Linked DNA regions of Macaca fascicularis. The protein of the gene in region 1 purifies or fractionates together with the protein of each later gene. This does not show direct contact. Links are inferred from orthologs where the notes say so. Each region holds a gene or a part of one and is shown in the gene's direction. Other genes may lie near its edges. The genes, in order: POLR1C, POLR3G, POLR1E, POLR3C, POLR3E, POLR3H and POLR1F.

Evidence for each region.
Region 2: the proteins of POLR1C (region 1) and POLR3G purify together in Homo sapiens (affinity purification with mass spectrometry; 4 studies listed by BioGRID and IntAct, counting the BioPlex papers as one, with this or other methods). This does not show direct contact. The link is inferred for Macaca fascicularis from reciprocal best matches to the Homo sapiens genes POLR1C and POLR3G.
Region 3: the proteins of POLR1C (region 1) and POLR1E purify together in Homo sapiens (affinity purification with mass spectrometry; 5 studies listed by BioGRID and IntAct, counting the BioPlex papers as one, with this or other methods). This does not show direct contact. The link is inferred for Macaca fascicularis from reciprocal best matches to the Homo sapiens genes POLR1C and POLR1E.
Region 4: the proteins of POLR1C (region 1) and POLR3C purify together in Homo sapiens (affinity purification with mass spectrometry; 5 studies listed by BioGRID and IntAct, counting the BioPlex papers as one, with this or other methods). This does not show direct contact. The link is inferred for Macaca fascicularis from reciprocal best matches to the Homo sapiens genes POLR1C and POLR3C.
Region 5: the proteins of POLR1C (region 1) and POLR3E purify together in Homo sapiens (affinity purification with mass spectrometry; 5 studies listed by BioGRID and IntAct, counting the BioPlex papers as one, with this or other methods). This does not show direct contact. The link is inferred for Macaca fascicularis from reciprocal best matches to the Homo sapiens genes POLR1C and POLR3E.
Region 6: the proteins of POLR1C (region 1) and POLR3H purify together in Homo sapiens (affinity purification with mass spectrometry; 5 studies listed by BioGRID and IntAct, counting the BioPlex papers as one, with this or other methods). This does not show direct contact. The link is inferred for Macaca fascicularis from reciprocal best matches to the Homo sapiens genes POLR1C and POLR3H.
Region 7: the proteins of POLR1C (region 1) and POLR1F purify together in Homo sapiens (affinity purification with mass spectrometry; 3 studies listed by BioGRID and IntAct, counting the BioPlex papers as one, with this or other methods). This does not show direct contact. The link is inferred for Macaca fascicularis from reciprocal best matches to the Homo sapiens genes POLR1C and POLR1F.

Annotation. Positions count from the first base shown.
Region 1 is NC_088378.1:128,000,112-128,003,611, reverse strand, and holds part of POLR1C (DNA-directed RNA polymerases I and III subunit RPAC1), read left to right. Parts: intron 1-303; coding exon 304-423; intron 424-512; coding exon 513-665; intron 666-862; coding exon 863-1,012; intron 1,013-1,169; coding exon 1,170-1,286; intron 1,287-1,424; coding exon of another isoform or gene 1,425-1,543; exon of another isoform or gene 1,544-1,760; intron 1,761-2,582; exon of another isoform or gene 2,583-3,500. UniProt on the Homo sapiens protein: DNA-dependent RNA polymerase catalyzes the transcription of DNA into RNA using the four ribonucleoside triphosphates as substrates.
Region 2 is NC_088380.1:94,475,898-94,480,129, forward strand, and holds the start of POLR3G (DNA-directed RNA polymerase III subunit RPC7), read left to right. Parts: upstream 1-1,432; 5' UTR 1,433-1,560; intron 1,561-1,908; coding exon of another isoform or gene 1,909-2,362; exon of another isoform or gene 2,363-2,458; intron 2,459-2,565; exon of another isoform or gene 2,566-3,089; intron 3,090-3,581; exon of another isoform or gene 3,582-3,631; intron 3,632-4,232. Other genes in the region: acyl-coenzyme A thioesterase MBLAC2, read right to left, coding at 1,909-2,362. UniProt on the Homo sapiens protein: DNA-dependent RNA polymerase catalyzes the transcription of DNA into RNA using the four ribonucleoside triphosphates as substrates.
Region 3 is NC_088389.1:61,826,433-61,829,932, reverse strand, and holds part of POLR1E (DNA-directed RNA polymerase I subunit RPA49), read left to right. Parts: intron 1-266; coding exon 267-400; intron 401-2,969; coding exon 2,970-3,051; intron 3,052-3,500. UniProt on the Homo sapiens protein: Component of RNA polymerase I (Pol I), a DNA-dependent RNA polymerase which synthesizes ribosomal RNA precursors using the four ribonucleoside triphosphates as substrates.
Region 4 is NC_088375.1:113,589,753-113,593,986, reverse strand, and holds the start of POLR3C (DNA-directed RNA polymerase III subunit RPC3), read left to right. Parts: upstream 1-1,434; 5' UTR 1,435-1,731; coding exon 1,732-1,816; exon of another isoform or gene 1,817-2,196; intron 2,197-2,976; coding exon 2,977-3,143; intron 3,144-3,990; coding exon 3,991-4,234. Other genes in the region: E3 ubiquitin-protein ligase RNF115, read right to left, coding at 1,015-1,116. UniProt on the Homo sapiens protein: DNA-dependent RNA polymerase catalyzes the transcription of DNA into RNA using the four ribonucleoside triphosphates as substrates.
Region 5 is NC_088394.1:21,283,828-21,287,942, forward strand, and holds the start of POLR3E (DNA-directed RNA polymerase III subunit RPC5), read left to right. Parts: upstream 1-1,315; 5' UTR 1,316-1,433; intron 1,434-2,782; 5' UTR 2,783-2,878; intron 2,879-4,115. UniProt on the Homo sapiens protein: DNA-dependent RNA polymerase catalyzes the transcription of DNA into RNA using the four ribonucleoside triphosphates as substrates.
Region 6 is NC_088384.1:10,065,842-10,069,979, forward strand, and holds the start of POLR3H (DNA-directed RNA polymerase III subunit RPC8), read left to right. Parts: upstream 1-1,338; 5' UTR 1,339-1,387; exon of another isoform or gene 1,388-1,675; 5' UTR 1,676-1,695; coding exon 1,696-1,806; intron 1,807-4,138.
Region 7 is NC_088377.1:110,491,711-110,495,210, forward strand, and holds part of POLR1F (DNA-directed RNA polymerase I subunit RPA43), read left to right. Parts: intron 1-2,186; coding exon 2,187-2,328; intron 2,329-3,500. UniProt on the Homo sapiens protein: Component of RNA polymerase I (Pol I), a DNA-dependent RNA polymerase which synthesizes ribosomal RNA precursors using the four ribonucleoside triphosphates as substrates.

The DNA of each region.
Region 1 (3,500 bases):
GCCCAGGCTGGAGTGCAGTGGCCGGATCTCAGCTCACTGCAAGCTCTGCCTCCCGGGTTTTTACGCCATTCTCCTGCCTCAGCCTCCCGAGTAGCCGGGACTACAGGCGCCCGCCACCTCGCCCGGCTAGTTTTTGTATTTTTTAGTAGAGACGGGGTTTCACGGTGTTAGCCAGGATGGTCTCGAACTCCTGACCTCGTGATCTGCCCGTCTCGGCCTCCCAAAGTGCTGGGATTACAGGCTTGAGCCACCGCGCCCGGCCAGATGTTTACTAGTTCTTAAGAGCTCCCTCCATTTGTGCAGGAGATGAAGACGGCACAGAGATAGATACCCTACGGTTTCGTCTCCAAGTCAGATGCACTCGGAACCCCCATGCTGCTAAAGATTCCTCTGACCCCAACGAACTGTATGTGAACCACAAAGGTAAGTAGTGGTAGGGTGAGGAAGAGGCCCCACCTGTGGGTGGCTGCTAGTTTTAGGAACTGAAATCTTTTGACATGTTTTTCCTCCAGTGTATACCAGGCATATGACATGGATCCCCCTGGGGAATCAGGCTGATCTTTTCCCAGAGGGCACTATCCGACCAGTGCACGATGACATCCTCATTGCTCAGCTGCGGCCTGGCCAAGAAATTGACCTGCTTATGCACTGTGTCAAGGGCATTGGTGAGAACCCTGTGTTCCTTCCTGGGAAGAGGGGTAGTTTGGTTGCAGTGGGGCAAGCTGACTAGGGAACTCAGCTGAGATATTCCTAGCAGGTAGAAAGCCAAGAGCATCGTGCTTTTGCTGTTAGCAGCTTAGGAAGAGTATTCTTCCTAATCCTAGAAGGGTTTCGTATAGGCACTTTCTCTCTTCCTCTCCAGGCAAAGATCATGCCAAGTTTTCACCAGTGGCAACAGCCAGTTATAGGCTCCTGCCAGACATCACCCTGCTTGAGCCCGTGGAAGGGGAGGCAGCTGAGGAGTTGAGCAGGTGCTTCTCACCTGGTGTTATTGAGGTGCAGGAAGTCCAAGGTATGGTATTTGGGGTGCTGTTCAGGTTAGGACCTAAATTATATTTTCTTTGAAGGTGACAGAAATAAAAACCCTGGGTTCCTAAAAGTATAACATGGTTTGCTACCAAGGGGCAAATTAGAAAAAAGAATAAAAAAACGTGGTTTGTTCTCATTAGGTAAAAAGGTGGCCAGAGTTGCCAACCCCCGGCTGGATACCTTCAGCAGAGAAATCTTCCGGCATGAGAAGCTAAAGAAGGTTGTGAGGCTTGCCCGGGTTCGAGATCATTATATCTGTGAGTATGAAGTGGTGAGATGAGTGGGCAGTACTCTTTGGTGCTGCAGCTTCCTTCCAGTCTAGATGTGAAGTTTGAGTAACAGGGGCTTTCTACAGGCAAGCCCCGCCTAGGCTAAAGTGTCTCTTTGATCCCCAGTCTCTGTTGAGTCAACGGGGGTGTTGCCACCAGATGTGCTGGTGAGTGAAGCCATCAAAGTACTGATGGGGAAGTGCCGGCGCTTCTTGGATGAACTAGATGCGGTTCAGATGGACTGAGCTTGGATGTTCCTGAGGCAAGCTGAAGCTTTGGGTTCTGACTGACCCACCCTACAGGACTGCTGTACAGAGAGCCCAGTGTGACTAGGGATCCTGAGTTTTCTGGGACAATTCCAGCTTTATTTTTAATCAATACATTTTGTTAAATGTGCCATAAAATGAGACTTTTAGGCCTTTGTAAGGCCTTAGATGTAAATAAACTCATGTCCAAACAAAACTTTTTGAGACAACTTTTATATTTTTTGAGACAGAGTCTCACTCTGTTGCCCAGGCTGGAGTGCAATGGTGCAATCTCTGCTCACTGCAACCTCCTCCTCCTGGGTTCAAGCAATTCTCTTGCCTCAGCCTCCTGAGTAGCTGGGACTACAGGTGTGTACCACCACGCCTGGCTATGTGTAATTTTTTGTATTTTTAGTAGAGAGAGGGTTTCACCATATTGGTCAGACTGGTCTCAAACTCCTGACCTCAAGTGATCTGTCTGCCTTGGGGCCTCCCAAAGTGTTGGGATTACAGGTGTGAGCCACTGCGAAAAACAGGGCCTCACTTCAGAACTGGTTTGACCTTTAGCAATTAAGAACATCAGATGTACACTCCAGCCTGGGTAACAGTGAGACCCTGTCTCAAAAACAACAAAAAACACCTCCTGAGAATTGGCAAATTAAGGTGGTTTCTGGGAGTACAGCCAAACCCCTAGAAAAACATTCAAGCTAGAGTGAATGCACCATTTCACCTGTCTCCCGGATTACCAGGGAAGTTCATGCCGCTATTGACAGCTCCAACAAAGAACAGTAGCAATTCCTTTGGGCCAGGCCCAGCAGCCACATATGAAAGACACTGTGAGAATGGTATGGGCTGCCTAGTCTGGGTGTGTCAGGATAGAAATCCTTTTCTAACTGGCACACCATTTCAGAAAGCTTGAAAGACCAGGTTCATCAGTCACATTTCTTCCTGTTCAGTCCCCTTTTGCAGGGTGCTCATGGAGTAACTCTGGAGTATGTCACTGGTTTTAAGACTAGGTTGAAAAAGGCAGATGGGTCCCTTTCTGTATGAAACTGAGACTTTTACTGACATGCAGATGTGCTTTGGAGTTAATGTTTCTACAAAAAGTTTCTATAAACAATAGAAAACTTCTAGCATGAAGTCACAGGATGTTAAAAATATTACAACACAATAAATACAACTACACCCTCCACAGCCCCAACCATACAGGAATAGGCAGCTATCAGGTTTGGAGGGAAACACTATTGAGATCGCCTTCACAATCCACAGGAACCCAGAGCACCACACGGGAAGAGGGAGCAACATGAGACTCCAACTTCTGCTTCCTCAGCTTTGCCTCTTCCCAATCTGACCCTGCCTCTGGTCCACACCAGCTAAAAACTATAGCTTCAGTCCACTTCGGCTCTCATGGAAACCCTCTTGTCAGTGGATTGGTGGACAACAGGTCTGTTTTTGTGCAGAGCACATGGACACACTGGTTTCTGTATGGATTAAGTCTGCCTTTATGGCCAGTAATAATGTCAGGGCCAGGTCCCATATCCGAGTCCTGTTTATAGGGCCTTTCAGTGACCTCTAGAATGGACTCACAGTACAGGTTGTGATGCGAAGGCATGTATTCTTTTCTTTTGGAGATGGTCTTTGAGAAAAGTAACCAGGGACCTGAAAGACCATGAGATTGCGGAAGGCACCTGGTCTTAGTCCTAGAAGACCAGTGGCTTTGCTAGCTGCTTATCACAGATATAGCCTAGTTGGTCTGTTTTATCCTTGGATGACAATGGTGTCATGTGACACTCTCTAGGGTACTGTGGCTCTTGTGCCTGAGTGGACCTTGAGGCTGGGGAAGCCAAACTGAGGGGTCATTCATGGAAGGGCAAGATGTGTGAGCTCTAAAGGGGATGTTAGCACTAAAGACTGCCCAGCCCTGGTCCTTGGAGGTACTATACTTGACACTGTGCCA
Region 2 (4,232 bases), on another chromosome or scaffold:
TTTCACCCTTTTAAAGGCTTAAAGTACCACACAAGTAGTTTGCAGGCCCCTTTCAGCTCCCAAAATGTTAGGATTCTACCATCAACTGGTAAACCTGGGTTCTAGTCCCAGCTCTTTCCGAGATGGGTGATGTGACCTCTTGCATGATACTCAGGCCTACATGGGTTCTTTCTTCATCTATAAAACAATCCCTATCATTCTTTCACCTTTGATTTCCCATTGCTGATACAGAATCAAAAGTCAATTTCAAAAGTAATTTATTCTTTTCAATAATTTAAGTATATTTTAATACTAATGTAAACATTTTTGGTCCGGGTGTCAGAATTTAGTCTGAATACCCATCAACTGCATGGAAATCTTACCCCTAAAAGTACCCATTTTTGTCAAGAAATACAGTAATTAGGTGTGACTTTAATGTAAATTAAAATTTAATGTACATGTACTTTCATCTCATATTGTCAGATAATGTAAGACTCCCATCTAAACCAGTTTTTTTTTTTTTTTTAATTTTAGATTTAAAACTTTAATGAAGACTTTTGTTGGGTGGGGTTGAGGTACAGAATCTTGCAATTTTTTTTTTTTTAGCACCGATAAGTAATACAATATAATACTGCAATTTTTAAAATATCTCAAATGAGTAAGATGTCATCTGTGAGATAAACTGATTTTTGTAAAATATTTCATTATTTGCCATATTGTTTGGTCATAAAGTGAGCTTCACTATACTGCAGCAACTGGCTTTTTCTACTATATAGAGGCATGTTTTAATAAACCAAATTGGTAATTAAAATAGTCTCACACTAAAGGAAAGAAGGGGCCTTTCACATTCTACTCAGAATTATCATCATATATTTATGAGGTAGGATTTATGTACGTTCTGCATGCCTTGATCTATTGTGCCTAGATTCATATCCTAGCTTTTATCATGATCTGTCTCAGGCAAGCCATTTAACTGGGAGGTCAGTGGCCTCACTTTAAATGTGTTGTGAGGATAAAATGAAATCAAAAGTATACTAAAAAGAAAATAGAAAACTAATATACCAAATATTGCTGATGTGGCAAATTAGCTCAATTATTTAAGTCCTTGCGTAGGGAAATGGGCTGAGGCCCTAATCTATTTATTTTCATCCCATGGATTTCTCTCTGAATTCCATATTTGTCTTTCACAGAGCCAAAGAGGACCATGGCTACCTATGCATTAGTCCACATAATTTACCTCTACCGAAAATTACTTCCTTATTGATCTTTCTCAGGCTTTGCTTTCAGCCGGACCAGATACCTGTCATAAAGTTATTCTACGTTTATGATTACTATTAAGCTTTTGCAATCGTGAGTCAACATCAAGAACAGAAACCTATCTGAGAGGTTTCCAATCGCATTAGCGGATTGGAATCGCTGCTCTGATGACTTTCTAAGGCTACAGGTGGGAACTGCCCATACCCGGTGGTGACCAAGCTGATGAAGTCTGCAGTTCTCAAAAGCACAGATCATGACATGCACTCCCCGTGGGGCGTCATTCCTTAAAAGTCTACTCACTACGAAAGCTCCTGGAAATGTCGGGTAGGTGCTTAGGGAAAGAATAAGAAATCCCTAGTCAGTCACAAGTCTCTGTAGTGTTACTACTACAGCCGACTCAGGAAACTGGCTAGGGAGGGGTAGTGCCGGCTTTCAAAGAAGTACTCAGAATTGCTATACGGTGCCAGAGCTGGCCTCTGGCAGGGAAGGCTGTGATGGCTTTGGCTCTGGTCAAGTAGGTTTTTACTTAGGGAAGGGTGTAACAGAAGTGGTTCCGCGAGGTGCCAAAATAATCCCCTTTATGGCCACGCAAGTCTGCAACATGCGGCACTCGGACAGTCTCTTCCCAATACCCTCCCTTAACGAGAGCGCGCGCCCGCGGGGGCCCATTACCATCCTGCAGGATGAGGGTGGGCTGCACCGCCTGTACCCGGAACTGTCTGGCCCTCCAGCCGGGGCTGGGCGCCCGCACCACCTCGCTATCGGAGAGCCAGGTCACGGTCTCAAAGTTGTCCCCGCGAGCCAGCGCCTCGGCCTCGGCGTGGTGCACGGCCACCCGGTCGAACTGGTAGAGGCCGCCGGAGTGGTCGAAGTGCACGTGGGTGGCCACGGCAAGCAGCGGCCGGCGCGCCGCGTCCTCTTTGGCCCCGCGGTCCTGCAAGAGGCCGGAAGAGTACAGGTACTCAGGGAGGCTGCGCAGCCCCAGGCCTGTATCGATCACCACGTCCTGCTCGGAGCCGCGCACCAGCCAGATGTTGGCACGGTTGCCCGACTCGTAGAAGCGTTCTTGAATCCAGAAAATACCATCGCCTAGAGACTTGTGGGCGTACCACTCGAGCGCCGACATGCTGGGCAGGGATGCAGCCAGGCGGGGTGAGTGTGGGCGTGCGAGTCTCCCACAGGCTGTGTAAACACCGGGCGCTGCGGCTGTGTGGAGCCGTCTGCCTGCAGCCAGGGAGGAGGCGTTGAGTGAGGCGGGGGCGGGGGATGCGGGAGTCAGAATAGGAGGAGGAAGGACGCAGACCGACGCTGCCAGTAGCGTGCGCTCTCGTACCCTCCCGCCAGGTCGGCAGCAAGCAGAGACTGCGCCACCAGCACGGGGGCGCAGGAGCTACAGCAGCCTCGGCAGGCGCACCACGAGGGAGCTGTAACGCAGGGACCACTGCAGCAGAATGGAGACTCAGGTGGTGACCCTTTCGCCACCCCGGGCGTGTGACAGCAGAGGCCCGGAGCAAGGGTGGGAAGCGCTAGGACCGCCCACCCACTGGCTCCCCACAGCGCGCACTCCTAGCTGGCGCGGAAAGTGTGGGGCCTAGCAGGTTGTACGGAGCCTACGGAGCCTGCCAAGGGCAAAAAAGCTCTTTGCCGAGGGGGTGGGGCCTGCCTAGGGAGTGGGCGGGGCTAGTTGGTAGGGCTCACGCCGCGGTCCTGGGGCCGCGTGGAGGGCGGTGCGAGTTTCTCCTGAGGTGGAACGAACGGCACTCGAGCGCCGGTGTTCTCTGCCAGCACCCCTTACTTGCCGGCCGGCGCTTCGGCTGCAGAGTTTTGCCCAAGCTTCGAGACTTAGGGAACAGGTAACCGAGGAAGCAATCGAAGACTTGGGAGGGGTGGTGAGGGTAGAGGGGAGTTAAAGGGGCATGTGGAGAAGTTGTGGGGGAAGTCGGGGGTAGAGATTCATTAAAGCGCCTCTGGGTTGAGGGGTGTTTGGAGATAGCTTGGTACCTCCCCTCCTTGTCCTGCTCCCTTCAGAATTTTTTTAAGTCGAATTTCCAGATCTTACCCAGTCTCCACTCCTGGGACTGTTTGCAGTGAGTTAGAAGGGTATTTATGCTCTTACTGATAGTAGGTTATTTTCCAAATCCAGTGACTTTATGATTTGTTGAGGCACTAGTCATTGCCGCAGATTGCAGCTAAGGACCGACTGTTCAGTATCTGTTTTCGTAACTGTTGGCATTTTATATCGTAGGGAAGGAAGTTGTTAATATGGTTTGTCTTTTCTTCTAAAAAATAAAATTCTGTATCCACCCTCTTTTTTTTTTTTTTTTGATTTGGTCTGTCCTTGGAAGAGAGAAACGCGAGTTGGTAGAAAGGCTCAAATAGAGAAAAGGAGCACCTGGTAAGGACGGGAAAAGTGAATAATGACTGGGTGTGGCCCCGCCAGCCTCTTAAATCATCCGCTCTGTTAACATCAGGTCACTGTCTCCACTCCCCACTTCCCAGCTATTGAAGCATCTATTTAGGTTTTTTTTTTGTTTTTTGTTTTTTTGAGACAGAGTCTCTATTGCCCAGGCTGGAGTGCAGTGGCGCAATCTCGTCTCACTGCAACCTCCGCCTCCTGGGTTCAAGCGATTCTCCTGCCTCAGCCTCCCAAGGAGCTGAGATTACAGGCGCCCGCCACCGCACCCGGCTAATTTTGTATTTTTAGTAGAAATGGGGTTTCACTATGTTGACCAGGCTGGTCTTGAACTCCTGACCTCAAGTGATCCGCCTGCCTCGGCCTCCCAAAGTGCTGGGATTACAGGCGTGAGCCACTGTACCCGGCCAGAAACATCTATTTAGGCTTAAGAAATTCCCTTGAGAACTTGACTAACCTCCCAACTTAGCCAGGAAAAATGATAAGGAGACTCATGAGACAGCATTACAAAAGAATTATGAAAACCGTTACTGTGACAACTACTAATAAGCCTTCATGGAAGGAGAGGTATACGCTCTTTTGC
Region 3 (3,500 bases), on another chromosome or scaffold:
GCAGACAGCTCACTGGAGCCTTGACCTCCTGGGCTCAGGTGATCCTCCTGCCTCAGGCTCCTGAGTAGCTGGGACCACAGGAGTGTGCCACCATGCTGGTTAAGTTTTTGTAGAGATGGGGTCTTGCCTTGTTGCCCAGGCTTTCATTAGCTGTTGAGTGTGTCAGGGGTGAGAGGCGCCTGCTGCTCTTGTTGTGAGAGGGAAATAGTTCCTGACAGAGCCCATCTTACCCTGACACAAGCCTCTCTTTCTTTTCCTTGTTTTAGCCATTGCACCTTTGTGATAGAAGCGTTGAAGTCTTTGCCATCAGACGTGGAGAGCCGAGACCGCCAGGCCCGATGCATATGGTTTCTGGATACCCTCATCAAATTTCGAGCTCAGAGGGTAGTTAAGCGGAAAAGTAAGTCTATGGTAAACATTTAATTCTAATTGTTTCCAGTCTGTTATTTGTCTATAATTCTTAGATCAGTTCTAATGAGAGAAGAAAATCAGTGTGTCTGTCCAAGTCTTTATTGTCAACTGTGAGATTCCTGCTGGTACTGCTGACATGTCGAGGGGACTTGCCAGGCCCCTTTTTCTCTCTGGATCTCCCTTTTCTCATCTGAAAATTGGGGCCACGTTGGATTATATGAGAGTTCAGGGTCCTTCCAGAGCTAACATTTGCTACTTCTATTCTGCATTAGGCAAGGTAGAATATCCAGGTCAAATAAAATGAAAATTTTAAGGGACTGTTAGAACAAACATCAGCCGTGTGTGTGTGTGTGTGTGTGTGTGTGTGTGTGTGTGTGTGTGTGTGTGTGTGTGGAGAGAGCGCTTATGAGTTACACATATGTATCTTGAAAGCTTGTGGCAGGTTTGTGTTGTGTCAGCTTATTTCTAACAGGAGAGCGTCAATCTGATGGTAACCCAGTGTCACCTGTAGCCAGGACGCTTTGTGGGTCACACCCTCATACCTACCCAGAGTTGGAAACCCAGGAGATGTCTGTGGTTTTAGGCACAAGGCATATTTAGTTGTTACTGTGATTGGGCATCCAATAGTCTATACTCCTGTTTTTCAGTATAGTCATGTGTCACTTAATGATGGGGATATGTTCTGAGAAATGTATCCTTAGGCAATTTTGTCATTGTACAAACATCACAGAGTATATTTGCATAAACCTAGATGGTATAGCCTACTACACACCTAGGCTATATGCTATAAGCTGCTGTTCCTAGGCTGCAAACCTATACAGCATGTTACTATGCTGAATATTATAGGCAATTGTAACACAATGGCATTTGTGTATCTAAATGTATCTAAACAGAAAAGGAATAGTAAAACTATGATATTATAATCTTTTGGGACCGGCTGGGCATGTTGGCTCATGCCTATATCTCAGCACTTTGAGAGGCCAAGGTGAGAGGATCACTTCAGGGCAGGAGTTTGAGACCAGCCTGGGCAACATACCAAGACACTGTCTCTACAAAAAAATAAAAATATTAGCTGGGGTGATGCACGCCTGTACTCCCAGCTATTTGGGAGGCTGAGGCAGGAGGAGTGTTTGAGCCTAGGAGTTCAAGGTTACAGTGAGCTATGAATGCACCACTGCCTCAGTGACAGCAAGACCCTGTGTCAAACAAAATCTTACAGGACCATTGTCACATATGTGGCCTGTCATTCACCAAAAGAACGTAATGTGGGACATGACTGTATTTGCTTAGTCATGCTTTTTTTTTTTTTGAGACAGGATCTCGCTCTGTCACCCAGGCTGGGGTGCAGACCTATGATCTTGACTCAGTACAACCTCCATCTCCTGGGTTCAAGCAGTTCTGCCTCAGCCTCCTGAGTAGCTGGGATTACAGGCGGGCGTCACCATGCCCAGCTAATTTTTGTGTTTTTAGTAGAGACGGGGTTTTTCCATGTTGGCCAGGCTGGTCTTGAACTCCTGACCTCAGGTGATCCACCCTCCTTGGGCTCCCACAGTGCTGGCTGGGATTACAGGTGTGAGCTACCGCACTCAGCTTGTATTTGCTTAGTTCTTTTTTTTTTTTAGATGGCGTCTCGCTCTGTCACCCAGGCTGGAATACAGTGGCTCGATCTTGGCTCCCTGCATCCTCCACCTCCTGGGTTCAAGGGATTCTCCTGCCTCAGCCTCCCAAGTAGCTGGGGTTATAGGTGCCCGCCACCACACCTGGCTAATTTTTGTGTTTTTAGTAGAGACAGGGTTTCACCATGTTGGTCAGGCTGGTCTTGAACTCCTAACCTCATGATCTGCCCGCCTTGGCCTCCCAAAGTGCTGGGATTACAGGCGTGAGCCACCATGCCCAGCCAGTTTTTTTTTGTTTTGTTTCGTTTTGTTTTGTTTTGAGATGGAGTCTCACTTTATCGCCCAGGCTAGAGTGCAGTGGCGCAATCTCGTCTCACTGCAACCTCTGCCTCCCAGGTTCAAGCTGTTGTTCTGCCTCAGCCTCCTGAGTAGCTGGGATTACACCATACTCAGCTAATTTTTGTATTTTTAGTGGAGGTGGGGTTTCACTGTGTTGGCCAGGCTGGTCTTGAACTCCTGACCTCAGGTGTTCTGCCTGCCTCGGTCTCCCAAAGTGTTGGGATTACAGGTGTGAGCCACTGCATCTGGTCACTTAGTTCTTATTTTCACATTCCAATTCCAGCTTTCCCTGTCTCTCCCTGAGCTTTCAGCACAATTTTTGTTTTCTAAGGTCATGTTAAATCTACGTCCTTAGGCCTCCGGCTGTGTTTTCTTGTCACTGCCCCATCACCAGCATCTCTTGTGCAGGGCAAGCTGCAGGCTGAAGCACACCAAGCATGTTTTCATTTCGATGTGGCCGTTCTGCTTTGTGGGCCCTGCTTCTCTTACCACCTGGTTCTGGTCATTACAGTGGCCCAGCTCCTGGCTTTTCTCTCAACTCATGGTGGAGGTGTGGCCTGAGGGTTTTGAGAGAAAATGATCAAACTCAACTTTGTGTTGTAGGTGCCCTGGGACCTGGAGTTCCCCACATCATCAACACCAAACTGCTGAAGCACTTTACCTGCTTGACGTACAACAATGGCAGGTCAGGGGGTGGTTTCTGGGATTTTTCCTGTGCAGGAGAAAGTGGGTGAGGGTTGGGAGTGAGCAGCAGGGGCTTGGACTCAATTCCACGTCCACAGAGATGCAGTGCTGAAGAGACTGCTGCCATTTGGAAGGCTCCTGGGGCCCCAGTAAGTTTAGCAAACGCTAAATATGACATACTCTGTCCTTTTTGGAAAAGTATTACTTTTGGGGAATCTTAGAAGCTCTGGGAAGTCCTCCAATAAAGACTTGTTTTACTTCACATACTTTTGAAGAGCCCTTCCTGATGTCCCACAGAGCTGGTGTTTGCGGAAAGGCAGTGTTGCAGAAAAGGGCAGCCCAACTCGGTGACTCAGGAAAGACCCGCAAGCGTTGCCCCGGGCTTCCTTCCTGCCATTTGCCTGGAGTATGTTTTCTGCTCTAGAGTGTGCTTGGAAGAATCAGCACAGC
Region 4 (4,234 bases), on another chromosome or scaffold:
TTGTTTTTTGTAGAGAGGAGTCTCACTGTGTTGCCCAGGCTGGTCTCAAACTCCTGGCCTCAAGCAATCCTCCTGCCTCGTCCTCCCAAAGTACTGGGATTACAGACCTGAGCCACCGCGCCTGACCTACAAAAGTGCTTTTTTCACAACCACAGCACTGCCTCTCAAGCAGCTAACAGTCTGGCAGAAACTCGTGAAAACCAATTTCATGTCGGAGGTAGCAACCCCAACATTCTACCCCGGCTCTTTTTCTTAAGTGAAGAAAGGGACAGGGCGGGGGGCGGAACAATGGTATTAAAGACACTAGCAACATGACAACCAAAATAAACGAAGTTGAAACAGTACGTCCTGCCTTCTTCCTAAAGCCATTTCCTTCAATAGTGATAGGAGTGCAGGCTGTCTGCAAGTCATTAGTACGCTGCTATTTTCACTTTCACAAGGACCCTGGAAACCTCTGAAGAGCAAAATCCTCCTTTTCGCCTCACAGATACCATCCAACCCCCTTTCTGTGCTTCCTTCCTTCCCCAGAGAAAACCGAATAGGGACAATCCTCAGCAATCCGCTATTTTGCTTCACTGACAAGGGAGGTGGCGGGGGCGGGGGGAGTGAAAAGTGGAAAAGAACGTAGAGGAAGGTGAGAAGACACAGCGGAAGGAGTATGGGGGGAGGTCATCGTGGGGAAAAGACCAGGTATAAAAGAATGCAAGAAAATTGAGGGGAGAGTTATCAGAGGGAAACTTGCTAAGAAAAAAATAATAATAATAAGGACAGGAGAGGTAAAGAGGTGAGATCAGGTGAAGCAGCCCACGATGAATTAAGAGGTGGGCAGGAGGTACGGGGCCGGAGCCGTGACGCCCAGGGTCTAGGGCCAGTGGCTGGAAAAGTGGGCAGCAGGTATTCGGCAGACCGATGTCCTGGGAGTCAAGGGTGTGCGGAAAGCTCCAAACCCAGTTCCGGGACATCAGAGCCAGGAATCTATGAGGTTCCCAAGTACAGAGAACACGGGGCTCTTACCGGTAGTTTGGGGCTGACCTCGCCCTTGCAAAAGTGGCAGAAAAACCGGTGGGCGGCTACAGCGGCGCCCGAGTCCGCCCCGGCCGCCGAAGCCTCCGCCATTTTTGTCCTCCGCCGCGGCCGTCCGAGAAGGCAGCCGGCCCGTCCCTCGCCAGGCCGCTACCTCCCGGGCTGCAGTAGCCACCGCCGCCTCGGCGCGGCCCACCGCTTCAGAGCCCGCGTCGGTCACGTGAGTCGGCCAGACCCAGAGAGGCGGCGGCGCCAACAGCAACCCTGCGGCCCGCCTCCCAGCACCAAATAGGCGCAGGAAGGAGAGGCAAACCTCCCGCCCGCCGGCTCCACAAACAGCCCCTCGCTGGTCCTCCAGCCTTCCAGCGAGAAGAAAGAAAGAGCGTCCCCGGAAGCCGCCGAAACTCTAGCGTAGAGCGGCACGCGCTTTTTGCCTTTCCGCGTCCTCTTCGGTGGCCGTCCTCTTCCTTGAAAGGGCGGTGGGCTCCACTTCCGCTCAGAAGGCCAGCGGGAGCCGCAGGAAGCCGTTGCGGGAAGTTCAGCAGCTTTGGGGTTGGTGCCTCTGAACTGCGCTGATCCTGAGGTTAGTGGAAAATGCTGTCTGAACGTGGCAGCACTGACTGGACCAAGAGACCAAATCCGGAATGGGAACCTGTGTAAAGGGAGTGTAGAGCTAGGAGCCAAGCGTCTTGTAAGTCCTTTCCGAGGATGGCAAGGGATCTGGAAATGCTTCTCCAAAGATACGCGGATGGACGAAATAGGTCTCTGGTGATACTAAGGCTTCTTACGAATTGTAAGAAATAAGTAATGTTTGGTAGCAATTTGTAATAAGGAAGTAATCGTATAATAAACTACGTCCGTTTCTGATTGTGTCAACTTTGTCAAGGAGTAGAAGTTTAAGAATTGAATGCTGTCCTGCAAACAACGTAACCTCATCTCCTATTTGACACGCCCTGTTGAGAAGCAGTCCTTTACCGCCTAAATTTCTTTTTCGAAATTATCATTTCCTTTATGAACTAAGAATAACACTGCCTGCTCACTTCCACCGGGCTGTGAACAGTGACCTTAATTCTTCCAAGCAATGAAGTGTAGAAACTAAGGTCTGTGACAGACTGCAAAATCATCTACTCCCAATCTTTAAAGAAAATCAGAATCATGCATAATCCCATAGAGGTATATTTGATGCACAGTCTTTTTCTATGCATACATTTTTCCTTTTTTTACAATAATTGAATCTTTATATTTTTTCAGCTTCTGTCACTTAATATATTATGAATAATTTTCCTCTTTTTGCTTTTTTTTTGTTTTTTTTTTTTTTTTTGGAGACAGAGTCTCGCACTGTTGCCCGGGTTGGAGTGCAGTGGCGCGATCTCAGCTCACTGCAACCTCCGTCTCCTCACTTCAAGCGATTCTCCTGCCTCAGCCTCCCAAGTAGCTGGGATTACAGGCGCCCGCCACCACGCCAAGCTAAATTTTTTTTGTATTTTTAGTATAGAAGGGGTTCACTATGTTGGCCAGGCTGTTCTCAAACTCCTGACCTTGTGATACGCCCACCTCGGCCTCCCAAAGTGCTGGGATTGCAGGCATGAGCCACAGCGCCAGCCTATTATGAATAATTTTCTTCTACACGAATACACATGGTACTAAATAACTTTGTTGGCATAGTATGCCATTGTATGGGTATGCCATCATTTATTGTTAGACGTCAGATTGCTTCCAGTAAGTCTGTATTATAGAGAGAACTAATGACTTCATTATTATTAGCTTTTTATTCTTTCCTTGGATACAATATCCAAAAAGAAATTGTTGTTTCAAACATATGCAAGATTTTTAAGGCTTTTTGATATGTATTGTCAAATTGCCCTCCAGAAAGAATACATGAATTTACACTCAGCAGCTCTGCTTCCAGCATGAAAGACTTTCCATTGTACCGTTTTGGTGTTTTTTCCCTAGCTCTCAGACTCCCCAGTACCATGACTCAAGCAGAAATTAAGCTCTGTTCTTTGTTGCTGCAAGAGCATTTTGGAGAGATTGTAGAAAAAATTGGAGTCCATCTGATAAGAACCGGCAGCCAGCCACTAAGAGTAATTGCTCATGACACAGGAACATCACTGGATCAGGTATGTCTAAATGACATTAATTTTCTGTCATTTCACTAATTTATCTCACCCATCTTTGAATATTGTTCTTCTCACCCCAGAAAGGGAAAAATGAAGAAAACCTGCCCTGGGAGCAGAACAATGTTATTTGGGGAAGAAAAGGATGGGACTTAGGCATCAACATTTTGTTTCTCAAAGTGTTCCTAGTTCATGACAGCTTTTAGGCAAATCTTTGCTCTTCCCATGCCATACCTCATTTATTCACAATAGGTCTTTTAATCTCAGTACTGCCTTTAAGGAATGAGAATGATGAAAGTAAATTGTGTTTTGAAAGATAAGGATCAGGCCGGGCGCGGTGGCTCAAGCCTGTAATCCCAGCACTTTGGGAGGCCGAGACGGGCGGATCACAAGGTCAGGAGATCGAGACCATCCTGGCTAACACGGCGATACCCCGTCTCTACAAAAAAAAAAAAAAACACAAAAAATTAGCCGGGCGAGGTGGCGGCGCCTGTGGTCCCAGCTACTTGGGAGGCTGAGGCAGGAGAATGGCGTAAACCCGGGAGGCGGAGCTTGCAGTGAGCTGAGATCCGGCCACTGCACTCCAGCCTGGGCGACAGAGCGAGACTCCGTCTCAAAAAAAAAAAAAAAAAAAAAAAGAAAGATAAGGATCAGAGTAAATATAGCAAGGAATCTTCCTGATTTATTGTATTGATGTCTGATTCTTATTAGCTACTCCAATGGAGAGAAAATAAGTGCAGAAATTATCTAGCCATTTTCTGATGCTTAGTAAGTTGTTGGACAAAAAATTTCCAGCAGTAATGAGCTATATCTTCAGGTCTTTCCTCTCTTCTCTTTATGTCCCATCTAGGTGAAAAAAGCCCTGTGTGTCCTCATCCAACATAACCTGGTGAGTTATCAAGTGCACAAACGTGGTGTGGTGGAGTATGAAGCCCAGTGCAGCCGGGTATTGCGAATGCTTAGATATCCCCGGTACATCTATACTACCAAAACTCTGTACAGTGACACTGGAGAACTGATCGTTGAGGAGCTTCTGTTGAATGGCAAACTGACAATGTCAGCTGTTGTGAAGAAAGTGGCAGACCGGCTCACAG
Region 5 (4,115 bases), on another chromosome or scaffold:
TTTTTTCTTTGTAATTTTTGTACATTTTTGTACAAAAGATATATAGTGTTTTAGTCCATTTTCTGTTGCTTATAACAGAATACCTGAAACTGGGTAATCTGTAAAGAAAAGGAAGTTACTTATTACAGTTATGGAGGCTGATAAGTCCAAGCGCAAGAGTGTGCATCTGACGAGGGCCTTCTTGCTGGTGGGGTACCCCTGCAGAGTCCTCAGGCAGTACAAGCCATGATATGGAGGAGGTGCTGAGCTGTTCACTTGCTGGCTCAGGTCTAGCACTTATAAAGCTCCCACTTATAAAGCCATCAGTCCCCCTCCCAAGATAACCTATTAATCCATTAACCCATGAATCCATGAATAGATTAATCCACTCATGAGGGCTCCACCCTCATGATCTAATCACCTCTTAAAGGGCCCACCACACAATACTGCCACATTGGGGATTAAATTTCCAACACATGAAATTTGGGGGACACATTCAAACCATAGTACATATTAAACTGATAATAATGGTTACTTAACCTCTGCGGAGGGGCCTAGGATGCGAGTCAAGAGTCAAAGAGCATTTGTACCTTATCTGCAAAGTTTAAATATTTTACAATAATTCGTGTGTTATTTGTGTAAGTAAAAATTTAAACACATAATTTCTCAGAGACAACTGCCCAGACCAGCCCCCGGGTTTGGCCGTCAGATCCCCTAGGGCGTGTTTCTGATCAGATCGATTTCTTCTCCCGGAGACACGCAATCCGGGTCGTATGGATTACTTGTGAGTTAACCAGGGGTCTCCAGGGTAACCATCCATCTCAGAGTACAGTTTCTAAAAATGAGTTTTGCTCTAATACCTATTCGGAACAAACCTGGGTCTAAAAACTGGAGCAAGTGTTTATTTTCCAGCACACGGCTTTTTAAAATAATTCTATAGGGATCAGCTTGAACACACATTAAACAAAAAAACCTCAGCGAAAACGCCTCGCGATTTCCAGATGAAATGCGAATGCAAAAGCATTAAGTAGCGTTCTGGCAAACCCTTTCTCCAGCTGGGTAGCGTGGCCGAGCGGTCTAAGGCGCTGGATTAAGGCTCCAGTCTCTTCGGGGGCGTGGGTTCGAATCCCACCGCTGCCAGGGTTGGTTTCTTTTTGTTCCCCGCTGCATACACGCCCGGCTGTTTTGCGCGTGCCATCAGCGCCCCCTGCTGCAGGGCGGGGCTCACGGCCTGCATGAATGGCGCGGCGGAGGGGGCGGAGCCGTGTGCGCCGGGGCGGGGCATTGTGGGTAAGAGGAAGCGCTGGGGCCGGCCCGCTCCCCCCACGTGTCCGCCGGAGTTTCTCCACCAGCAACATGGCCGCCGCCTGAGAGGAGAGCCGGGCCGCCGCCGCATCTGCAGCCCGCGGGTAACTGGGCGGTTGCCGCCGTCCGCGCTCGGCCCCCGCGGAGAGGTGAGTCCCATCTTGGCAGCGCCCGAGCTGGGGCTTGAGCCGGACCGCACTCATGACGTGGGTCTGGGCTAGATTCCCGAGTAGGCCAAGGAGGCCCGCGCCGCGCCGTGCTGAGGGGCTGGGGGCCTCTCGGGACTCGGGCGGGAGGAGGGGCAGCCGGCTCCAGGCCGACCCCGGACTCCTACTTCCCCGACCCGACACCTGGGAGTTGGGGAGGCCGCGGCCGACGCTGCCGGCGGTGACTCAGGGTCCTGCCGACCTGCCCCACCCGGGCCTGGGGGGCATCCTACGGAAGGAACACCTGTCCTCGGCGTCGGGTGTGGTGGCGGCTCGCGGCAGGGACTGCGTGGTGGGCGTGAGAAGGGGTCCTGACCACCCGCGAGGGAGCAGAAACCCATTGGACAGCGAGGCTCGGGGTCGGCGGCCCGCCCCGATGGGCAGGGAGGGCACCTGCGCCTGCCGGAGCCCCCTCTTCGCAGCTGAACCGGATTAGCTTCTGCCTGGCGAGGCCTGGGATTCCTCGTTCATTTATTCAGGCAACCATTCAGTGTTTACTGAGCCAACTCTGTGCTCCGGATACGGCCCTGACCATTCGGTCCGAGGAGGTGTCAGTAAACAAACAAGGTCGTTCCTTTGGGTTAGCTTTAGAATTCCTTGGGCTTGGAGGCGGAAAGAAGAGATCTTAGCGATCTCAACAGTTCCTCATCTGTGAAATGGGGATAATAGAAATTCCTACCTCATAGGGTTGTGGTGATGGCTCATTAGAAACCAGGTGACGCTCCCGCTTGCAGCGTTTTTACCCGCCTACATTGGCAGAAAACATGTTGTCAAGTAATAACGAACCTTCCCATAGGTTACGTTTATTACCGTCTTTACTCCTCCCCGCAGCTGTTTGTAGGTCGGTACTTAGTTTCCCTACTTTAGGGATGAAAATAGGGAAGAATACCAGACGTAGACAACTCAAGTAGGTCACAGATGCGAAGCAGCTGCGGTGGGATTTGAACCCGCGTAGTTTTGCTCCGGAGTTCAGGCTCTTACCCACTTAACCATACTGCCTTTTATCGAAGATCTGTGCAGTATACTGGTTAAGAATAAGAATAAGGATCTTTGACATCAACGAGACCCTAGTTTCTGTCCTGATTCCACCTCGGATGAGTTACTTCTCTCTCAACCTCAGTCTCCTCATTTCCAAATTGAAGATGATAAATCTCTATTAATAGGGCTAATGAGAAGATTAAATATAAAGTATTCTTTGTACTATATTGAGTGTCAACTTCGTGCCAGGCACTGTTCTAGGTATTGAGAGATCTAGCAGTGGATATATATTTTTTTTAATCTTCATTTCATAGTTGAGGAAACTGAAGCACTGAGAAGCCTTCATGGAGCTTACATTCTATTGCAGAAGACAACACCTGAGCAAATAGACCAGGTAGTTCCAGATTAAGGTGAGACCCATTAAGGAAAGAAAATAGAGATGTGGTAGTGCCTGGGAGGAAGTTGGGGGAGGCTTTTAAAATAGGGTGGCCAGGGAACCTATCCTCTCCTGCAGGCGGTGATGATACTTAATAAAAAGGAGCAACCTTGGAAATCCCTGTGGGGGAATAGATGATGTGCAAAGGACCTTGGGTGGACTGGGGCTTGGCTTGGTGGAGGCCCAGCAAGTGGCTACCAGCCTGGATGGTCAGGGGAAGTCAGAGACAAGATCATGTAGGGCCTTAGGCGGCTCATGGAAAGGAGTTTGGGTTTTGTTTTATGTGACAGTGACAGTTGACAGGTTTTAGGCAGGGAAATAATGATTTACATTTTTTTTTTTTTTAAGATGAAGTCTTGCTGTGTTACCCAGTCTCGAGTGCAGTGGCAAGATCTCAGCTCACTGCAACCTCTGCCTCCTGGGTTCAAACGATTCTTCTGCCTCAGCCTCCCAAGTAGCTGGGATTACAGGTGTGCATCACCACACCTGGCTGATTTTTGTATTTTTAGTGGAGACGGGGTTTCACCTTATTGGCCAGGCTGTTCTGGAACTCCTGACCTCAGGTGATCTGCCTGCCTCAGTTTCCTAAAGTGCTGGGATTACAGGCGTGAGCCAGCGTGCCTGGCCCCGCCCCGAATAGAGATAGAGTCTCACCCTGTGACTCAGGATGGAACACAGTGGTGTGATCATAGCTCACTGCAGCCTCAAACTCCTGGATTCAACCAGTCCTGCTGCCTCAACTTCCCAAGTCATTGGGACTGCAGGCCACGCTGGGCTAATTTTTTTTTTTTTTTTTTTTTAAAGAGAGACCGGGGGTCGGGGGGGGGTCTCACTATGTTGCTCAGGCTGGTCTTGAACTCCTGGTCTCAGGCAGTCCTTCCACCTAAGCCTCCCAAAGTGTTGGGATTACTGGCATGAGCCACCACGCCAGCCTTTCCAAGGACTCACTGTTGCTGGGAGACTTTGAGGCAGGTAGCCATAGGGAGACATGGATGAGTTCTTTTCACATTGCAGATTGAGATTTATTAGTGGGAAGTAAAATTGATTTAGTGGAATTGAAGCTAGCATTTTTTGTTTTGAATGAATGAAGTAGAAAACATCACTGCCTGACATATAGTAGAGACAGAGTTATATGAAACTTTGTTTCAGTTACGCAACTGTGTGTATGTTCTGGGTTATTTATATGAGATGAATTTCATGTTGTTTTTTTT
Region 6 (4,138 bases), on another chromosome or scaffold:
CCTGAACCAAAGCAATAGTAGTGGGAGTGGAATAAAGAGGAAGCATTTGAGAGGAAGAATTAATGTTAATCTCCTGAACACCTTACTCAATGCTTCCTAGGAATGTGTTAGGGGATTGTGGGAATAAAGAGCTGAAGTAGCATTTGCTCCTGTCCTCAAGTACCTCAAATCCTATAGAAGCAGACCTAAAAATAAAAACATACATGCAGGGAAGGCCACATTTAGCATCACTGCAGCCAGTGTCACTGAGAGATCACTATGCTTGTGAAATCAGCAAATTAAGGCACCGTACATTTCCAAGTGCCTCTGTCATTTACCCCAAGGATCTTTTTTAAGTACCTAAATTGTTATTTTGGTTAAAACACACTACAGTATACATCTACACCTCACCAGTTTTTAAAGGCAGGGTAGTGAGGTTCAGACTGGGCCCATCTCTACCACTTGTCAACACATGATCTTGGGCAAGTTACCAAATTCTTTTAGCCCATGCTAACTATCACGTGAAGACGAATGAGACTGGAATGTTGGGGAAAGAGAGCATGATGGGGCTATAGGAGGGGGTATGATCAGATCCTGCAAGGCCATGTGAACTACCATAAAGGTTTTGGACTTTTCTTCTTTCTTTCTGCTTTTCTCTTTCTTCTTTCTCTTCTTTTCCTTCTCCTTCTTCTCTTTCGTTTAGAGATGGGGTGTCACTGTCACCCATGCCAGAGTGCAGTGGCATGATTGTAGATCACTGGACTACAGGTGTGCACCGCCACCCCTGGCTTGGATTTAGTATTCTAAGTTCAATGGGTTGTACTTTTTGTTCCAATTTATTATCACTTTTCAATTGGGATATAATGTCTACAAATTTGCCCTGAGTTCAATTAGTTCGGACACTTGTATACGTCAATATTATACCACCGAAAAGAAGATACAGAACATTTCCATCATCGCAGAAAAGTCCCAACTGTTCCTTTCCTGTCAATTCTCCTTGTCTCCGGAACACTTAAGGGTGCTAAGCATATTATGTTTGCGGTGGTTTTTTTTTTTTTTTTTAACTTAGAAGATGTGGTAATATATGTTTGCGTTCCCAAAGGATCACTCTGCTGCTGTGCGGAGGACAGCAAGGCGGGCAAAGCACAGGCCAGGCGAGGTATAATCAGGCAGTATTGCACGGAGGTCGCCTAGCAACCAGAAAGCGCCGTCGGGAGCTGGGAAAACGCTCTGCTCCTGTGAAAGGAGGAGGCCCCGCCCCCTCCCCGCCCTCTCTCCGCCCTACGCAGTGCGCGGGTACACGCTCTGTGCGCCTCGGACGGACAGAGGCTTCTTATTGGTGGGTTTTCCGGAAGCGATGGATTCGGAATCTCGCCCGCAGCCACGCAAAACCGAGCGGCTGTGTGCGGTGCGTGGTGCGCGGTACGTGCGGCGGCACGTGGCGCGGGTGCGGGGCGTGGCGTGGCGGGGTCGCGCGGCGCGGGCGCGCACCCGGAGCTCTGAACAGAGAGCGCCTCCTTCTGGCCTCGGTTTCCTCCCGTTGTAGTAGCGGAGCATGGCCCGGACCGGGCACCCGAGACCGCCCCGTGCAGCCTCACTGCCAGCCTGGGGGCCTCAGCGACCGCGACGGGACCAAGGGGCTCGGGGATCCTCCCCGCCCCCGGCCCTGGTGCTTGACTGACCCTCCCGTTCCCAGAGCCCCCAGCGCAGACCGGGATGTTTGTCCTGGTGGAGATGGTGGACACGGTGCGGATCCCCCCTTGGCAGTTTGAGAGGAAGCTCAACGACTCCATTGCCGAGGAGCTGAACAAGAAGTTGGCCAACAAGGTACTGGGCCCACGGCTCGCGGGCAGGCCTTGGCGCGGGAGAGCCAGCGCCGCCCACCGGCCGCAGGCCTGGCCTCCGTCATGCCAAGCCCTGGCCGTGGGCAAGCGGCTTAATGTCTCAGAACTTCTGTTCACCGTGAAACAGGATGTTGAAGGGGATCAAAAGAAAATGGGCTTAAAAAAGGGAGTTGTAACTGGAAGTGTCAGACTCTACAATTCTAAATTACTTTGCAATTGCAAGCAAGTTAACCCCTCTGGGCCTCAGTTTCCATTTGTAAAATGGGGATAAAATGTTGCTGTCCTTCCAGCCATGCATTGGTTTTTTGTTGTTTTTGTTTTGTTTCGTTTCGTTTTTTTTTTTTTTTCTTTCCCCGAGACGGAGTCTTGCTCTGTCGCCCAGGCTGGAGTGCAGTGGCGCAATCTCGGCTCACTGCAAATCTCCGCCTCCTGGGTTCAAGCAGTTCTCCTGCCTCAGCCTCCCGAGTAGCTAGGACGACTACAGGCACGCGCCTCCATGCCCAGCTAATTTTTGTATTTGTATTTGTATTTAGTTTTATTTTTATTATTTACTTATTTATTTGAGATGGAGTCTCGCTCTGTCGCCCAGGCTGGAGTGCAGTGGCGCGATCTCGGCTCACTGCAAGCTCTGCCTCATGGATTCACGCCATTCTCCTGCCTCAGCCTCCCAAGTAGCTGGGGCTACAGGGGCCCGCCACCACGCCCGGCTAATTTTTTTTGGATTTTTAGTAGAGACGGGGTTTCACCATGTTAGCCTGGTTGGTCTCGATCTCCTGACCTCGTGATCCGCCGCCTCGGCCTCCCAAAGTGCTGGGATTACAGGCGTGAGCCACCGTGCCCGGCCAATTTTTGTATTTTTAGTAGAGACGGGGTTTCTCCATGTGGCCAGGATGGTCTGGATCTCTTGATCTCCCCACCTTGGCCTCCCAAAGTGCTGGGATTACAAGCGTGAGCCACCGCTCTGGGCCAGTGCATTGTTTTTGTGAAGATGAACAGTTCTAGTAGTACAGAGTTAACGAACTGTCAGGAGGTTCATCCCTTCATTCTAGCAGCCAATATTTGTGCGCCATCTCTGCGCCGTGCCTATGTGCCTTAGTGCCAGCTGAGAGGTCCTCCCACTGCCATTTCTCTGGCAGTCCTCCCTTTCCAGGTATTCTGTGTCGCATCAGTCTCTCCATCTTAGACTTTTTCCTTTCCCTCTCTTTGAGAGCAGGGACTTATCTGTCTTCTTCCCTGAAGTATCCCCTCACTTAGCCAGAGCCTGGCACCAGTAGATGTTCCATAATTTTATGTTTGTTTGTTTGTTTGTTTGTTTGTTTGTTTTTTTGAGACAGAGTCTTGCTCTGTCGCCCAGGCTGGGGTGCAGTGGCCGGATCTCAGCTCACTGCAAGCTCCGCCTCCCGGGTTTAGACCATTCTCCTGCCTCAGCCTCCCGAGTAGCTGGGACTACAGGCGCCCGCCACCTCGCCCGGCTAGTTTTTTGTATTTTTTAGTAGAGACGGGGTTTCACCGTGTTAGCCAGGATGGTCTCGATCTCCTGACCTTGTGATCCGCCCGTCTCGGCCTCCCAAAGTGCTGGGATTACAGGCTTGAGCCACCGCGCCCGGCCTGTTTGTTTGTGTTTTAAACAGAGTCCCGCTCTTGTCGCCCAGGCTGGGGTGCAGTGGTGCAATCTTGGCTCACTGCAACCTCCACCTCCTGGGTTCAAGCTATTCTTCTGCCTCAGCCTCTTGAGTAGCTGGGATTACAGGTGCCTTCCACCACGCCCGGCTAACTTTTGTACTTTTAGTAGAGACAGGGTTTCGCCATGTTGGCCAGGCTGGTCTCAAACTCCTGACCTCAGGTGATCTGCCTGCCTCAGCCTCCCATAGTGCTGGGATTACAGGCGTGAGCCACTGCGCCCAGCCATTTGTCTGTTGAATGAAACAGAGGCAAGGCTCTGAGCTATAGTGTGCTGGGAAAAGCAGATATGAATGAGAGGGGTCCATAGTTGAGGGTGTGGTGACAAATTGAGGTAAATGCTATGAGGGACAGATGTTCACACACCTGTGGGAACAAAGGACCATCCCCTGGAATGAGGGAACCTGCGGCTTTGGTGAGGAGGTGGGGTTGGAACTGAGATCTGATGGTGAAGTAGAGCCAACCAGAGGATTCCTTTCTGGGGTGGGAGGGGAACTGGGTGGAGAGAAGAGCCCTGAAGGCAGGAACTGGCATGTGCACAGGCCCTGTGAAGAAGGAATACAGACAGGGCGTGGTGGCTCACACCTGTAATCCCAGCACTTTGAGAGGTTGAGGCTGGTGGATCACCCGAGGTC
Region 7 (3,500 bases), on another chromosome or scaffold:
AAACATATATACAGATAGGTTCAATACAGTTAGATTAAGAACAGTGAGAAAGCTGGCCTATAGGAGTAGAGGAATGATTTCAGGTTTGCCTAGGGGAGTCAGGGAAGTGTTTTCCAACAAGTAATGAAGCCACCAGGTTGTGTTTGTTTTGTTGTTTCTTGTTCCTTTGTTTGAGATGGAGTCTCCCTCTGTCGCTCAGGTTGGAGTGCAGTGGTGAGATCTGAGCTCACTGCACCCTCCGCCTCCCACCACTAGGTCTTTCTCCTTAATAGCTATAATTCCTTAAGAACTAAGAAATGACAGTTTGAAAAATAGTTGTCCCTTAATCCTGACTGTTACATTTGTAGACTAAAGTGTCAAGAGTCAGTTCCTAAATGTAGTTGTATTAACATTTGCATTTACTAGCAACAGTTTAAGTTTGGGATTTTCTCCATTAAGTCATTGACTTTAAAATTCAGGGGCGTTGCTTTGCCGGGGGAGATGCACTCTTAGAATGGCGATCATTAAAAAGTCAGGAAACAACAGGTGCTGGAGAGGATGTGGAGAAATAGGAACACTTTTACACTGTTGGTGGGATTGTAAACTAGTTCAACCATTATGGAAAACAGTATGGCGATTCCTCAAGGATCTAGAACTAGATGTACCATATGACCCAGCCATCCCATTACTGGGTATATACCCAAAGGATTATAAATTATGCTGCTATAAAGACACATGCACACGTATGTTTATTGCGGCACTATTCACAATAGCAAAGACTTGGAATCAACCCAAATGTCCATCAGTGACAGATTGGATTAAGAAAATGTGGCACATATACACCATGGAATACTATGCAGCCATCAAAAAGGATGAGTTTGTGTCCTTTGTGGGGACATGGATGCAGCTGGAAACCATCATTCTTAGCAAACTATCACAAGAACAGAAAACCAAACACCGCGTGTTCTCACTCATAGGTGGGAACTGAACAATGAGATCACTTGGACTCAGGAAGGGGAACATCACACACCGGGGCCTATGATGGGGAGGGGGTAGGGGGGAGGGATTGCATTGGGAGTTATACCTGATGTAAATGACGAGTTGATGGGTGCAGCACAGCAACATGGCACAAGTATACATATGTAACAAACCTGCACGTTATGCACATGTACCCTACAACTTAAAGTATAATAATAATAAATAAATTAAAAATAAAATAAAATAAAATAAAATTCAGGGGCGGCCGGGTGCGGTGGCTCAAGCCTGTAATCCCAGCACTTTGGGAGGCCGAGGCGGGTGTATCACGAGGTCAGGAGATCGAGACTATCCTGGCTAACACGGTGAAACCCCGTCTCTACTAAAAATACAAAAAATTAGCCGGGCGTGGTAGCGGGCGCCTGTAGTCCCAGCTACTTGGGAGGCTGAGTCGGGAGAATGGCGTGAACCCAGGGGGCGGAGCTTGCAGTGAGCTGAGATCGCGCCACTGCACTCCAGCCTGGGAGACATAGCGAGACTCCGTCTCAAAAAAAAAAAAAATAAAATAAAATAAAATAAAATAAAATTCAGGGGCTTCACCTTTAACTGTAATGCTTCCCTTGCTATATGCTGTCAAGTACTGAAATTCAGTAATGGTGAATAATACCAAAATTGCCTCTTGTTCAGTCATGCTCACAGAGATACACGTTTTCTTTGCTAAGTCCTTTCTTTCTATCCTAGTGTAACTTGAAGAATTCAAATAGTCATGCTAGAACAGAAAGAATGGGAGTTGGCAAGGGAAGAAGAGTTGATTTACTGCTCATGCATTAATGCATATTTTGTTTCTGTGTATCTTAAATCATCATTTTAACTTAGCCAACACATCAGAATCCATTGGTGAAACAGGACTACTAAAGTTGTTACAGACTAATCATATACTATTGTTTTTGACATGCGTGGTGTATTTAGATGTGTAGGCTTTGGACTCTTAGAATATCTAATCAGTATGAAAATGGCCTGGTTTAAAAGAGTGCAGTGGTGCACACCTATAATCTCAGCACTTTGGGAGGCTGAGGCAGTAGGATCACTTGAGCCCAGGAGGTCCAGGCTGCAGTGAGCCCTGTTCATGTCACTGCACCCTATCCTGGGTGACAGAGTAAGACCCTGTCTCCAAAAAAATAAATAAGTAAAAGAGGATAAAATATATCATTTTCAACTTTTTCTTTTTACAGCCTTTTAGGTGTCCCTATTGCATATGATAACATCAAAGTTGTGGGAGAACTTGGAGATATTTATGATGATCAAGGACACATTCATCTTAACATTGAAGCTGATTTTGTTATTTTCTGCCCTGAACCGGGGCAAAAGCTTATGGTATGTGTATCCCTTTTTTCTAGCTCCCTTTGTACAATTCTATAATTATGTAACTTGGAACATTTTAAAAGGTAATATATACCTTGGGACTCAAATAAATTGCTATTGTGAGTAAATAAATATTTTTATGGAAAAAATAATTTGTATCATCCAAACCTAGGTAAGTTTTTTAATATCCTCCTAAAACACATGCATGCACAGAATATATGTCCCATTCACTTTATTATTTTCATAGTCACAGAATGATTTTAAGGGGAAAAAATCAATTATCATTATTTCAAAAGTTCTCAATTCTACACAAATACCATTTCTTTACAAAGGTTTCAAAGAATATATAGCAGTATATAAAACAGGAATTCAAATGGGCTAGGCAGTAATGAAAATGTGTGAATGACAGATGACAGGGCAGCCAGTCTGTGCCTTGGAAATGGAATCTCTGTGGGAAAGGTCTTCCAGTTTTTCATAAGCTGGAAATGCAGATATTGATATGAAATCTACTGAAATAGATCCTTTTTTACTCTTTACTTTCTCCTGTCTTCCTCCAGCAGTTCTCTGTGTATACACATGTTCATATGTATACTCATATGTGGGTGTATATGCTCTTTTCTTCAGCTGATAAATATTTTAATCTAATAGATCAGAACTGTTAACTAACCCTTGATATTGTTCATAAAAATATAGATCAATTTAACCATGACAAAACCCAGAAGGCACTTCCAATTTTTTTCATTTATCAATATCGAATTAATACAAATAGTATCCTTTGCCTGTTAAACTGGAATCTTATAACTGGACTACTGAAGTTGGCAGTAGATGTGTATTTGGAAATTAAGAAACTTAACTTTCATCTACTTTGTGTAAATTATTATTTTAAATATAAACATGTAGGCCAGGTACAGTGGCTCACCTACCATCACAGCATTTGGGGAAGCTAAAGCAGGAGGATCACATGAGGCCAGGAGTTCAAGACCAACCTGGGCAATATAGTGAGACCTCATCTCTACACAAAATAAAACATTAGCCAGGCATGGTGGCATGGATCTGTAGTCCCAGTTACTTAGGAGGCTGGGGTAGGAGGATCACTTGAGCCCAGGGGTTCAAGGCTGCAGTGAGCTATGATTGTGCCAGTGCATTCCAGCCTAGGCAACAGTGAGACCCTGTCTCCAAAAATA